3 linked regions of the Cricetulus griseus genome follow. The protein of the gene in region 2 binds, or shares a complex with, the protein of the main gene of each other region. Links are inferred from orthologs where the notes say so. Each region holds a gene or a part of one and is shown on either strand. Other genes may lie near its edges. The genes, in order: Asf1b, histone H3.3A and Zmynd8.

Region 1 (3,741 bases), on a different chromosome or scaffold from region 2:
GTAATGACCATGCAACCATTTTTATTTGCAAAGAGCACACTCAGGCTGATTGAAACCTGCTCTCTCAGCATCTGGGAACTGTGATTCCATTGATTTATGTCTCCTCTTGGCTTCCAAATAAATCTTATCCCACATTGTTACCCTATATTTTATTTATTTACACCCTACCTTGTTCCAGCAAGGATTTAACCCAGCTTTATTCTATAGTTAAGCCACAAGTAGATTCCTTTAAACTTAAGGAGAAACTAGGGAGAGGATCAGCCAGTGGCCCACCCCAAGCACACATTATAGCAGCTCCAGGTGAACAGAAGTGGCTGGATTTGTCTGAACACCAACCACAGCCACCAAGAGGCACTAGTTTTCACAACCTAGCCTCTCAGAGCTCCACCTCCTCAGCTGCTACATCTTTCAACCCTCAGTAGGAAAATGAGGAGTGTTTCCTCCTAAAAGCAGGACTTGCCTAGTGTTAATATTTTGTTTATGATCTAACAAATAAAGCTTGCCTGAAGATCAGAGTGCAAAGCTAGCCACACTAGCTAGCCATAGAGGCCAGGCAGTGGTGGTACACACCTTTAATCCCAGCACTTGGGATACAGAAGCAGACAGAGCTCTGTTAGTTCGAGGCCACCTGAGCTACACAAAATTGAGCCAGTCTGAAAGAGAAACAGAGCTCAAAGAAAGGTGATCTCAGCACTTGGGATCCTATACCTTTAATCCCATCAATAGAGAGGACTATAAGGCGGGAGGAGACAAGGATGTGCAGTCTGAGGCAGTCTGAGCAGCAGTACAGTCTGGACATGCAATCTAAGGACAGGATCACCCTTTCTGTCTGAGGTAGAGGTAAGAGCTAGTGGCTGGCTACTTTGCTTCTCTGATCTTCAGCTTTAACCCCAATATCTGTCTCTGGGTTTTTATTAAACATGCTACACATTGCCTTGCTGTGGAGCTGAGACTACAAAGTGACCTCATGGTTAATGTGTTCACAGACTTATTTCAAAGGTCTTTTGGTCTTTGTGGCCCTTGTCCTGTCATCTAACAGCCACGTCCACCTTTATGTCCTGCAGATGAATGAAGTCATTCTGTGAAAGATTCACAAAGGCCAGCGGTCTCTCTCCCCAGCTGACTGAAGTTGAATCCCATCCCTGTTTGGTCAGTCACCCCCCACCACCACCAGGTCAGCCCATCAAAAGGAAGGAGGGATTCCTTACACTGAGTCTGCTGGAAGCTGGTAGAAATCCCAAAACTGGCAGAGGCCTGCCTGGCTGTAGCACCCCTTTCCCGAGTGTTCATCCAATCCCAGACCAGGAGCTGGGGAGGCCAAGTTATCTACAAAGAGCCAGAAGACCCCATCCCTCCCCGGGGGAAGGTCATGCATAGGATATGGTACTAACCTAAAGAGAGGCCCCGGTCTGGACAACAGCCATGACGTTACAGTTGGCTAGGAGGAGTTGCTAGGGACAAATGTGGAGATGTCTGGGGATGGTATCGATGGGAGACAAATGGGGTGGAAGAGGTCTTGCCATGGGCAGACAGGGTAGCAAGAGGAGGGTCTGCTGGTCTGTAGAAAAGCCGTCCATAAGGAAAATGGGGGAGGGTACTGGAGGTTGGGTTTCCATGGAAGAGAGAATAGATGGGAGGTTTTCTATGGGGAAATAGGCATGAAAATGGAGTCTAGCCATTGGGAAGAAGGCGTAGCCGCGGTCTCTTACACGCTAGATGGAGGCTTACACCACTACAAAGAAAAGGTGCCAAGGACAAGTGGTTCAGGACGAGGGGTGCCTCCACGAGACAGTGCAGGTTACCGTGCACTGGATCCTATCCACCGAGTTGGACCACGGAGGCTTATCTCTGAGTGGAGAAGTTCCCGGGGAGGCTGGGAGTGGCAAAAATGAGGGCAAGAGGGTTTGGGGTCCCCTGCACAGGCCCAGCCTCACCGTCAGACAGGGCCTCACTGCATTCGAAGCTGATCTCGAACCGGAAGGGGCTGTGGAAAGGGCTCGGGTTCTCCAGGACAGCCACGTTCAGCACCGACACCTTGGCCATCACCTCGCCAGGGGGTCACAGCTGCAGTGGAGCCTTCTCCGGTGTCCTGCGCAGCCAATGGCGGCTGGGGAAGAGGAGGTCGCCGAGGCAGAGAACCTCTCAGCGACTCCAACTCTTCTCTAAAGAGCGTCTCGCGTCCGCGCGCGGCCTTCAAATAGCTGACTCCACCCTCCAGCCAATCGCCGCTAAGGATCTATGACGGCGCGAGAGCCCCGCCAGCCAATCCTGAGGCTTCTTCCGGTTTGCGCCTCGACCCGCGGACCAATCAGAGAAGCTTCCTCTTCACGGTCCGCGGGAGGCGGAACGATCATCTTTTAGCTTCGCAAAGTGTCCATCCGGAACCAATCCCTAGCGTCTCCGACTCGAATATCTTGCGCCGGGGTGGGCGGAGTTAGAGCGCGGAACTTCTCTTGTCCAATCCCAAGGGTTACCGCATCGGCGTGACCCGCCCCCTCATTCTGCTCTTCCGGTAGGCACACCCCACAGAGAGCAGAGCCACTAACGGCCGAACGGTGGCGCGCGACTCTTACTTAAGAGCGCTGAAAGAAGGGAGCCAGAACTCGCCGTGATTGACTAGCGACCACGGGGCGGGGCTTCAGTAGGCTTCTGAGATGTGATTGGCTAATGTCGCGGCACAAGGAGGGCTGCGCTGGAAGCCGCCCTCCGGCTCAGTGAAAAGCATGAAGAGGCAAGCGTGATGGCGGCGCTCTGGCCTCCGTTTGTCCGCTGGTGAGCGTTTCCGGGAGCTCCTCTGAGGGACTCCTGGCCTTGAGGACAGCGGCCGTGAACATTTGGAGCACCCCTGAGACAAGATGGCGCGGCAGCGAGTGGGGACCCAGGATGGAGTCCCGGTCCGAAAGGAGTTGAAGTTCGTCGACGTACCAGGGTTTGGATCCTCTCTCCAGCCTGTTTTCCAACCGGTTGAAAAATTCACTGCGAAGGCCTGGGGTGGTGGCGCACTCCGGAGGCGGGGGCAGGCGGGTCTCTTGAGTTCGAGGACAGCCAGGGCTACATAGAGAAACCCTGTCTGGAAAAAACAAAAACAGAAGAAAGTTAACTGCCACTATTTATGACGATATAATGCGGTCTTCACTCCATGCCCCTCTGGCTCCCTAACCCTGCCACAGTCTCTTACACATACAACCAGTGAGAAATAATGCTAGCCACAGACCTTTTACTAATAAGTCTTTTAAAGGAAACAAAACAAAACGCCTGGAGTGCCGGTGTATATCCATTAATCCCAGCACTCAGGAGCCTGAGGTAGGCAGACGTCTGCGAGTTCAAGGCCTGCCTGGTTTACACAGTGATTTTGGGGAAGTAAATGAATAGATAAATTGGTTTTCACATTTGACCATCCTTAAAAGGCCAAGAAACGATGAGAGATTGATTTTAGTATTACATTTAACTCAATAGAACAAAAATGCTAATTTCAAACATTATCAGTATAAAAATGCTAATGAGCTATCCTGCATCCTTTTATTCAGTGAGAAATTTTTGGACTCCTGTACATGTTTTGAAGGGACCAGCTCCGTGTTTCGGCAGCCATAACAGCCTAGCACGTGCTTGCCTGACCTTGCCTTAGTCACTAAGAGGTCAGAAGCCTGCCTTGGGGCAAGGAACCAATCAGAAGTTAGCTGGTGGTGCTACGCTTTATGGCTCTGGGTGTGCTTTGTGGACAAGTGCACAACAATGACATAA
Region 2 (3,741 bases):
GACATCTTCCCAGTTTAAGCAACACTTTCTGTTGCCCCATCTGTGCCTTAGGTTTTAAAGTCCTAAAAGAGTTACCAACATAATTTACAACGATTCACTTAAAACACTCGTATTTGATCTCCCAGTATTGTATCACCAGTCATGAATGACTGAATTTGAAAACTTGATTTCACATTGTTTCTCCCACATGAAAAATTTTCTAAAATTAAGTCATTGTCTATAATACTTTTTTTTTTTAACTTGGGAAGCTTTATTGGGGGAAGAGAGTGGGAAAGATAAGAGAGAAAACAAATCCTTTAACCCCTAAATTTGACTTATTTCAACTCTATGAGCTGTTCACTGTACAATCTGTCTATGCAAATTTGGGCAACTTATGCCCTCTAATGGCAGATGTCCTTAACAACAGTGCTTACATAAAAATAAAATGAGGGAGTAAAGGAGGGAAAAACCCAAGTAATTATGACCAAGAGACTTTCTTTACTAGTCTCCCTAAGGTACTACACTTTACCACAAGTGTGGGTCAACCAAAACAAAAAGTATGTGTAAAAACACAACCATTTTTATGTGCCTGTATACACATATGAAACCATTTCATACTTAAAATGCTAATGGTTAAAATGTTAATGTGTCCTACTACCAGTTGAGAACCGCGTCCCTTTAGAATTTAGATCAGATTACAACTTCAAAATGTTATCAATAAAGCCTGACACTAAGTTACATGTATTCATAAATGAACATATGCACGTGTATTTTCAAGCAGCAGTAAACATTCAGAAGGAAAACATCTTTCCCTCACCTTCCTGTTAAATTACATGGACATACTGTTTAGACACTGTCCTATTCCTCCCCCTTTTATAAATACCTGTAACGATGAGGTTTTTTCACCCCTCCAGTAGAGGGCGCACTCTTGCGAGCGGCTTTTGTAGCCAGTTGTTTCCTGGGTGCTTTACCACCGGTGGATTTGCGGGCAGTCTGCTTTGTACGAGCCATGGTAAGAGCACCTCCTTACTTACCTACCAGTATTAAAAAAAAAAAAATCATATTCAACTAAAACATACATTTTCTTGCCAGAAGCCACCCCCTAAAAAAAAAAAAAATCCCAGAAACCTATCATTACTGAGAAAAAAAAAAGGCTGTTATATAATTAATTTGAAAGGGCGCAGGTTAGGTCTACTACCCAAATACGACTTAAAACAAACCGGAAAATTGTCAGCATTAATACTCATAACGCCAATTCCAAGCGACAAACGGCCAAAACCAGCGAGACCACCCCAATGGGTTTTAATTCAATTTCTTTAATTAAAGTAGAAATTAGAAATGCCTGCAAGCATTCGATCACAAACAAGTCAAACGAAAGAAGCCACAAACCACAGAAAGGTCGAGTCAAATTACAGCCAAAAAAAAAAAAAAGAAAGAAAAAAAGAAAAAAGGTTCCAGCGTCCCCCCCCCGTTCGCGCCCCCCGCCTCGCGCTCGGCAGTTGGATTGCTGTAAATATCTGTAAACATTCTTGAGGTTTCTATCTTTACGGTTATGTTGACAAAAAGGCGTCTCGAAAGACAAGAACAACAGCTATTGCCAGCGAGCATTCCACAAAGCCCGTCCTCCCGGGCTTCGCTATGCCAGCCGACTGCCCCGCACCCAGTCTTAATTAGCGCTCGACACCGGCCGCCCGGCCCACCCCAGCACCACATAAACTTTTGCTTCTGCCTCCCCCGGGTCCCCGGGTCCCGGGTCCCCGACCTGCCCTGCCCGGCCCGGCCCGGGCGCCCCGTGCCGGCAGCGAACGACTCGGCTCCCCAAGGCTAGCACAAAATGGAAACAATTGCAAAATGTATCCGACTCCCTTCCAAAGACACAAACAGCAAACCCTTCGAAAAATACCCCATCCCCTGCCACGTGCCGCTCTCCCCCAAATGCAAAAGTTCTTTTTTTCGTTATTTCGAATTTCATATGCATCAAGTTTCCTTTTTTTTCCTCCAAAAAAGGCAAAAAAATAAAAAAAAAGGTGCTTAAGATTTTTTTCCTCCTTCCATTTTAAAATGGGGAAGAGAGAAACGGGGGGGAAAAGAAACATGGTCGGTGACCAGAGAAGAGAGACAAGATGGTGAAGCTCAGCCACAACTGTGGGGAGGCAGCAAAAAGCGAGTTCGCCCGGGGCGGGAAGCGACGGCGATTTTACCCATTTCGCGCCCGACAAACTGCGGCCCGGGACCCGCAGGCGGCAGTTGAGGGGCTCGCGCGGGACCTGGTGAAGGTCTGGGGTCCCGGGAAGGGGCGGCGGGCGGGATTTCACCGAAGAAAGGAGAGCCCGCGGCGCGGGAGGGCCAGCAGGCTCGGCAGGCGGCGCGGCGGGGCCGCCGCCGGGCTGAGGCGGAGACGGAGAGCTGCCGCCGCCGCCGCCGCCGCCGCCGCCCGAGGAGAGGGAAACTCGCTCCCCGTCTCCGTGTCTGCGCCAAAAAGTTTGAGGGTCGAGCCCGAGGGGCTGCGGGGGCCCTCCGCGGCCCGCTACGGCAGCGCCGGCGGACGGGGCCCGGCTCCGGGAGAGCGGGCGGACGGAGAAACTTACCCCCCTTCTCCTTCGGCTGGAGCTCGGCAAGCGAGAGGCGGCGCTGGCGTTAGAGAGCGGCGGCGGCGGCGGCGACGGCTGCGAACACAATTGAAAGATGGCTGACACCGAGGCTACCCCCACACACGCCGCCCCGCCCCGCGCCGCGCCAGCCAATCACACACAATGGAGGGAAGGCTCGGCCCCGCCCCGGGGCCCGCGCGCCCGCCCCCCGCCCCTCCCCCCGCGCGCCCGTTCGCTGGCGCGCGCGCTCGCTCCTCCTCCACCCCCGCCCCCCCACCCCGCGCGCCGCCCGCCCCCGGCTCCCGCCGCCTCTCGCGGTGTGTACAAACACAAAAGACACGCCGAGGGGCCGCGGGGCCCGCCGAGACGCCGCCCGCCCCCGGCCCGGCCCGCGCTCGCTTCCCTCCCCGCCCGGGGCCAGCGCCACGGGGAGCCCCCGGAGCCCCGGCTCCCGGGGGTGGGGGGGTGAGGGATAAGGGGGGGTACCGAGGGGGCCCGTGGGGGATGGGAGGGCGGGCCGCGGGCCAGCGCCCGGCCTGCGGGGGGAGGGGCGCCGCCCCCGCGCGCGTCCCCGAGGCGCCCGCCCGCGTGGGGCGGGGAGAAGGCCGCGGCCCCGCGGTCGCCGCGCCCGGTGGACGAGGCGCCCGAGCCGGAAGCCGGCGAGTGGAAGCCCGAGGCCCGCGCCCACTCTCGGGCCGCGCCCGTTGCGCGCGGCAGGGGCGGGGCCCCGCGGTTCGCTTCCCGCCTAGCGCGGGCGCGGGGCGCGGGCGCGTCCGAGGGCCGGGCCAAATCGCCTGAGGACAAGCCCGTCGCGGACTCTACCCGGGAGAGGCGGGGCGGCCACTGCCAGCGCTGCTTCCCCGACGGCGGCGGCGGCGACACCGCGCTCACCCGCTCCTGCCTGGGCCGCCGTTCTTGATGCAAGATGGCTGTGTGTTGTGAGCCTCGGGAACAATGTGCAGCACAGCTGTCGCTGCGCACGGCCCGGCTGCCGGTCCAGCCCGAGTGGGCCGCTCAGCGAGCGGCCTCACCCTCCTCGGAAGATCGCTGTGGAAGGAGACTGTGACATAGCAGCTTAAGGCTGTCGCTGTAAGAGGCTGAAAACGGCAGGTACTAAGGAAGAGCTGCCGCAGGGCTTGCCGTGTTTCCCGCTTTCCAGCACCGCTCGGTA
Region 3 (3,741 bases), on a different chromosome or scaffold from region 2:
TTTTACTGGGGAGCAGAGCCAGAGACCGGGGTAGTGGGGGGAATCGCCAAGTGTGAGGCTGTGTGTGAAGTCGCCGTTCCCTCTGCCTTAGGGGACAAAAAGAAGCAGTTCTCTGTGGAAATAAATTGAAGCAAGAACCCTTGCGAAGCCCAGGGGATTTGTCAGCCCACCAAACAGGGCCCAGTTCCTCCCCAGAACACACATACAGGAGCAATTATGGCCGAAAGGGCTAACCTGTGGGTGTGTAGGCCTGACTATAATGGAGGTTCTTGTTTCCTGGCCGGGTTTGACATCGTTCTCTGTCCCTCTGGATTTAAATGGCTTCTCAGACACTGCCTGTATGCCCTGGATTCAGAAGGTCCACGCCTCCTCGGGAAGCAGAGGCGAGACAGCAGTTAGCTAGCTCTCCCTCTTTCTTTCTGCATCTGCCTGGGAGAGCTGCAGCTGGTATTTTTCCACAGGCCTTTTCTGCAATCTCAGGGCCTAGTTTTTCCCAGAGAGGCCCAGAGTCCGAGAGAGGGTTAACAGGCAGGAAGCTGAAGGCATCACAGACTAATACGGAAGTCAGATTTTTGTTTAACTGACAGGTTTAGCAGGCCTCATTGGTGGGGGAGGGAGCTGGGAAAGGAGGGTCTGTATGTAGATGGAGGCCTGTGGCCTGCTAGCAACGCATTTGGCTTTTCTTAGGGTAAGCCTGGAGTGGGTTCTCCCCTTGCCATCTTGACAGACAGACCCTTTTGGTTTTTCTTTGAGGACTGACGGGGGTGGTGAGAGGCTGTAGACTCCCAGCCTTGCAAATGGCTCTGTGGGCCTGCTTTCTCCAGCAGGCACTTTGACCATGACTAGGCAAACTTGATCACTCCTCCCCACAGCAGAGGCTCCTTTCACCTCCCGGGGACCTGGCTGCCCCTTGCTGATTTGTTGGGGGCCTCCCTTGGGCTGCCTGTTCCCCCCTCAGCCCCTCAGAGGCCTGCATCTGGCCTTGTCCCTCTTGCTCCTGTTTCCCCGGGGCTTTCCACCCCTCAGCTCGACTTTCTCCTTTGAGACCCACTCAAGCTGGCTTGTTCTAGGAAACGAGCTGTTTTCCTCCTTAGAAAACGACTTCTGCGTGGGGGCAGGTGTGGATGCGCCCTCCAGCCCACCCCAAAAGGGCTCTTCCCAGTGGCATCCTGGCCTCAGGCTTTGCTGGAGCAGGTCAGGCTGGCTGCACAGGTTTGCCAGGACCGGGGAATCTCGTCAGGGTGTGGGAGAAGTGCGTGCGGGGGCCCCTTTCCCAAGTTTTTCTTCCTGCAAAAGGCCTAGCTTGGCCTGTCTTTTTCTATGCACAGGATGGCTCTTGCTCACCCGAGCCTCACAAAGATAATCGCTCAGGAAGTGTTTCAGCCAATCCGCGGCGACTTTACACTCCGATTTGCCGGGGCAGCCAATCGGGGATGAGCTTTTATTAGGCGGCCAGATCATCAGCCGAAGTGCCAAACCCTTTTTCTGTGAGAACTAGGAGCCTGTCCTCCATGTTTTATAAGTATTGACATTACACAGTTAACAATGCATCCACAGAGGTAAGCTCGCCTTTTTAACCATCTTTTCCTCCCTTCCTCTGAGTCATCCGACTTGTGGACTAGCAGTGTGATTTCTCTGTAGCCTGGCTGTGCCACACTCATCCCCCCAGAGCACTTAGGCTAACTTGGGACTGTTTAGAGAGATTTTTTTTTTCCTTTCTTGGGTCACATGGCTAAGTAGCCATTAGCCATAGCTTGATTTTACAGCCTGGTGAGGGCCTGGGACACCTTTACTCTGACCAGGACATAGAATTTCTGCAATAGTTTGAAGCTAGATCCTGGTATGCCAAAAGAGTAGCTATTATTTTATTTCCCCTTCTTTTTTTCTTTTTTTTTTTCTCCCTTCCTCTCCTTGTCTCCCTGTCTCCCTCTCTGAACAGTCCCCCCCACCCCCACCCCTGCACTATTGTCTGCTCTGTCACATGCTTGCTGGGGGAAAGAAATTGGAAGGTAAGCCAGAAGGTCTTCTCCCAGCACTGTTCAGGACTGTGTGTGGCAGATAGCAGAGCAAGCAAGCCTGCTTCTCCAGAGAGGTTCTGGGAAAGGCTGGGCTAAGTTCTGACAAGACAGGATGTGTGTTTGTTTGCAACAGAACCCAGGCCTGAGCAAGAGCAGAGCTCAGAGAGCCAGGCTGGCTCCTGGGCCTAGGTGGGTGGTGGCGTGTGGACTCTCTCCTCTTCCTCTACAGGGCTTCGCACTTAACAGCTATGTTGTTCAGCCTTTTTCCCTGACTTAGCTTTGGTACAGAGTGTTCTTCAAGCCAGCCTACAGCCAGCAAATGGTTCTGAAAGTGTTTTCTAGCCTCTGAGGGAGTTTGTGGAGTAGGGATGGTGCCTGGGGGGTGGGGTGGGGGTGGGGATGGGGAGAGATTTTGAATAACATCCTGCAGGAAAAAAAACCCTGGGAGGACTCTGACTCCTTTAGCTTTCTACTTTTGCATGCTTTTCCATGGGCTAATGTTTCATTTATCCTTGTTTTCTTCCCCTCTTCTTTTTTTTTTTTTAAACATTATATCATCTTCTGGCCTCAGTGATAGAGTGTGGAGGTCATAAGATCATACCTGAGGCTCATGACAGCATCTCATACCCAGCTACTGGGTTGTGTGGTGGTGGTGGTGGTGGTGGTGGTGGTGGAGGTTTTTAATAATACCATGTAACTGTTTACAAAAAAATTTTCCTTTCTGATCAAGTCCCAAACGTGCCAGCTTGTTCTCTCTTCCTAACTGGAAAAGTGAGACGGTTGCTTGAACGTATGTTGGGTAAGTAAAGCAATCCATCTCTGGCTGTGTAGCAAGAGTTCGGTGAACATTTGGGGTCTGTTGTAATGGGGGAGGTGGCTTCTAAAGAGTGTCTTGAGTTTAGGTGATGGCTTGAATCCACTGTTGTTCCTGCTAACCTGCAGTTAGGACTGAAGATCTCACTTCCTGTTTACCCTCAGCTGGGGAGGAATTGCTGGGTCCATTGTGACTTGCAGCTAGACCTTGAATTGTGTCTGGCCCTTCTGAACTCTGGGTAGGTGATCTGCTAGTGAAATGGGAACAAAACTGTTTGTTCTCAGGGGTTCCAGAGCCCTACACACAGGGTATGTGCCTGTGTGTGTGTGTGTGCCTTGTGTTGTCGTATATAAGTTTTACGGTGTTTACATCTGGTGTAGAATCCTAGCCACTCCCAAACTAGGATTGGTTTAGGGCTCACTGACCACTAGTTTTAGCTTCTTTTCCCCCACGCCTGGTCCACACTTTTGTGCATGTTGGCTTTTAAGGGTGCAGCTCGAATTTTAAAGTGACAGAAGTCAACTTTCTCTTAGCATTTATCTTCAAGGTCTGCCTGGAAGCTCACAACGCATATTTTCAGCTTTGAGATCCAGCCAGTTTGCATGGAAGTGCTGCCTGTGTTCAGAGGTGGTCTTAGGCCAACTTCACAGACTCACTAATCTTTTTCTTTTAGTGTTCAAGCAACTCAACCTTTGACATCAGTTGAAAAAGGTTCATTTAGTAAAGAGATACAGACTGAATTATGGACTGGGCAGTCTGTGTGAGGCAGGCAAGCATCTCTGAAGTCAAAATACAGATGGGGTGTGATGCTCTTAGTGCCCTTGCCCCACACAAGTTCTGCTATTCTTTCTTATCTTGTTGCTGTAAATGGAAATTACAGACTGAGGTTCTCGTGGTCTTCCCCAGAAC

The links.
Region 1: the proteins of histone H3.3A (region 2) and Asf1b are in contact, whole or in part, in a crystal structure (PDB 7VCQ), measured with the Homo sapiens proteins. The link is inferred for Cricetulus griseus from reciprocal best matches to the Homo sapiens genes H3-3A and ASF1B. Residues at the interface, in NP_001365972.1 of Homo sapiens: Asp107, Leu110, Cys111, His114, Ala115, Lys116, Arg117, Lys123, Asp124, Gln126, Leu127, Ala128, Arg130, Ile131, Arg132, Gly133; in NP_060624.1 of Homo sapiens: Ile43, Val45, Ala48, Glu49, Glu51, Asp54, Thr87, Asp88, Val92, Thr93, Val94, Leu96, Arg108, Gly110, Tyr111, Tyr112, Val113, Asn114, Glu116, Asn138, Ile139, Leu140, Asn143, Arg145, Thr147, Phe149.
Region 3: the proteins of histone H3.3A (region 2) and Zmynd8 are in contact, whole or in part, in an NMR structure (PDB 7CWH), measured with the Homo sapiens proteins. The link is inferred for Cricetulus griseus from reciprocal best matches to the Homo sapiens genes H3-3A and ZMYND8. Residues at the interface, in NP_001365972.1 of Homo sapiens: Ser32, Val36, Lys37, Lys38, Pro39; in NP_001350670.1 of Homo sapiens: Asp84, Asn87, Asp88, Gly98, Gln99, Val100, Leu101, Leu117, Thr118, Ser119, Glu120, Glu122.

Annotation. Positions count from the first base shown.
Region 1 is NC_048596.1:160,459,754-160,463,494, forward strand, and holds the start of Asf1b (histone chaperone ASF1B), read right to left. Parts: upstream 2,201-3,741; 5' UTR 2,044-2,200; coding exon 1,935-2,043; intron 1,433-1,934; exon of another isoform or gene 1,392-1,432; intron 1,327-1,391; exon of another isoform or gene 1,291-1,326; coding exon of another isoform or gene 1,209-1,290; intron 1-1,208. UniProt on the Homo sapiens protein: Histone chaperone that facilitates histone deposition and histone exchange and removal during nucleosome assembly and disassembly. Cooperates with chromatin assembly factor 1 (CAF-1) to promote replication-dependent chromatin assembly.
Region 2 is NC_048598.1:13,474,873-13,478,613, reverse strand, and holds the start of histone H3.3A, read right to left. Parts: upstream 2,713-3,741; 5' UTR 2,568-2,712; intron 1,014-2,567; 5' UTR 991-1,013; coding exon 863-990; intron 1-862. UniProt on the Homo sapiens protein: Variant histone H3 which replaces conventional H3 in a wide range of nucleosomes in active genes. Constitutes the predominant form of histone H3 in non-dividing cells and is incorporated into chromatin independently of DNA synthesis.
Region 3 is NC_048599.1:13,536,329-13,540,069, forward strand, and holds the start of Zmynd8 (protein kinase C-binding protein 1), read left to right. Parts: upstream 1-1,403; 5' UTR 1,404-1,545; coding exon 1,546-1,559; intron 1,560-1,722; exon of another isoform or gene 1,723-1,840; intron 1,841-1,990; exon of another isoform or gene 1,991-2,009; intron 2,010-2,748; exon of another isoform or gene 2,749-2,817; intron 2,818-3,741. UniProt on the Homo sapiens protein: Chromatin reader that recognizes dual histone modifications such as histone H3.1 dimethylated at 'Lys-36' and histone H4 acetylated at 'Lys-16' (H3.1K36me2-H4K16ac) and histone H3 methylated at 'Lys-4' and histone H4 acetylated at 'Lys-14' (H3K4me1-H3K14ac).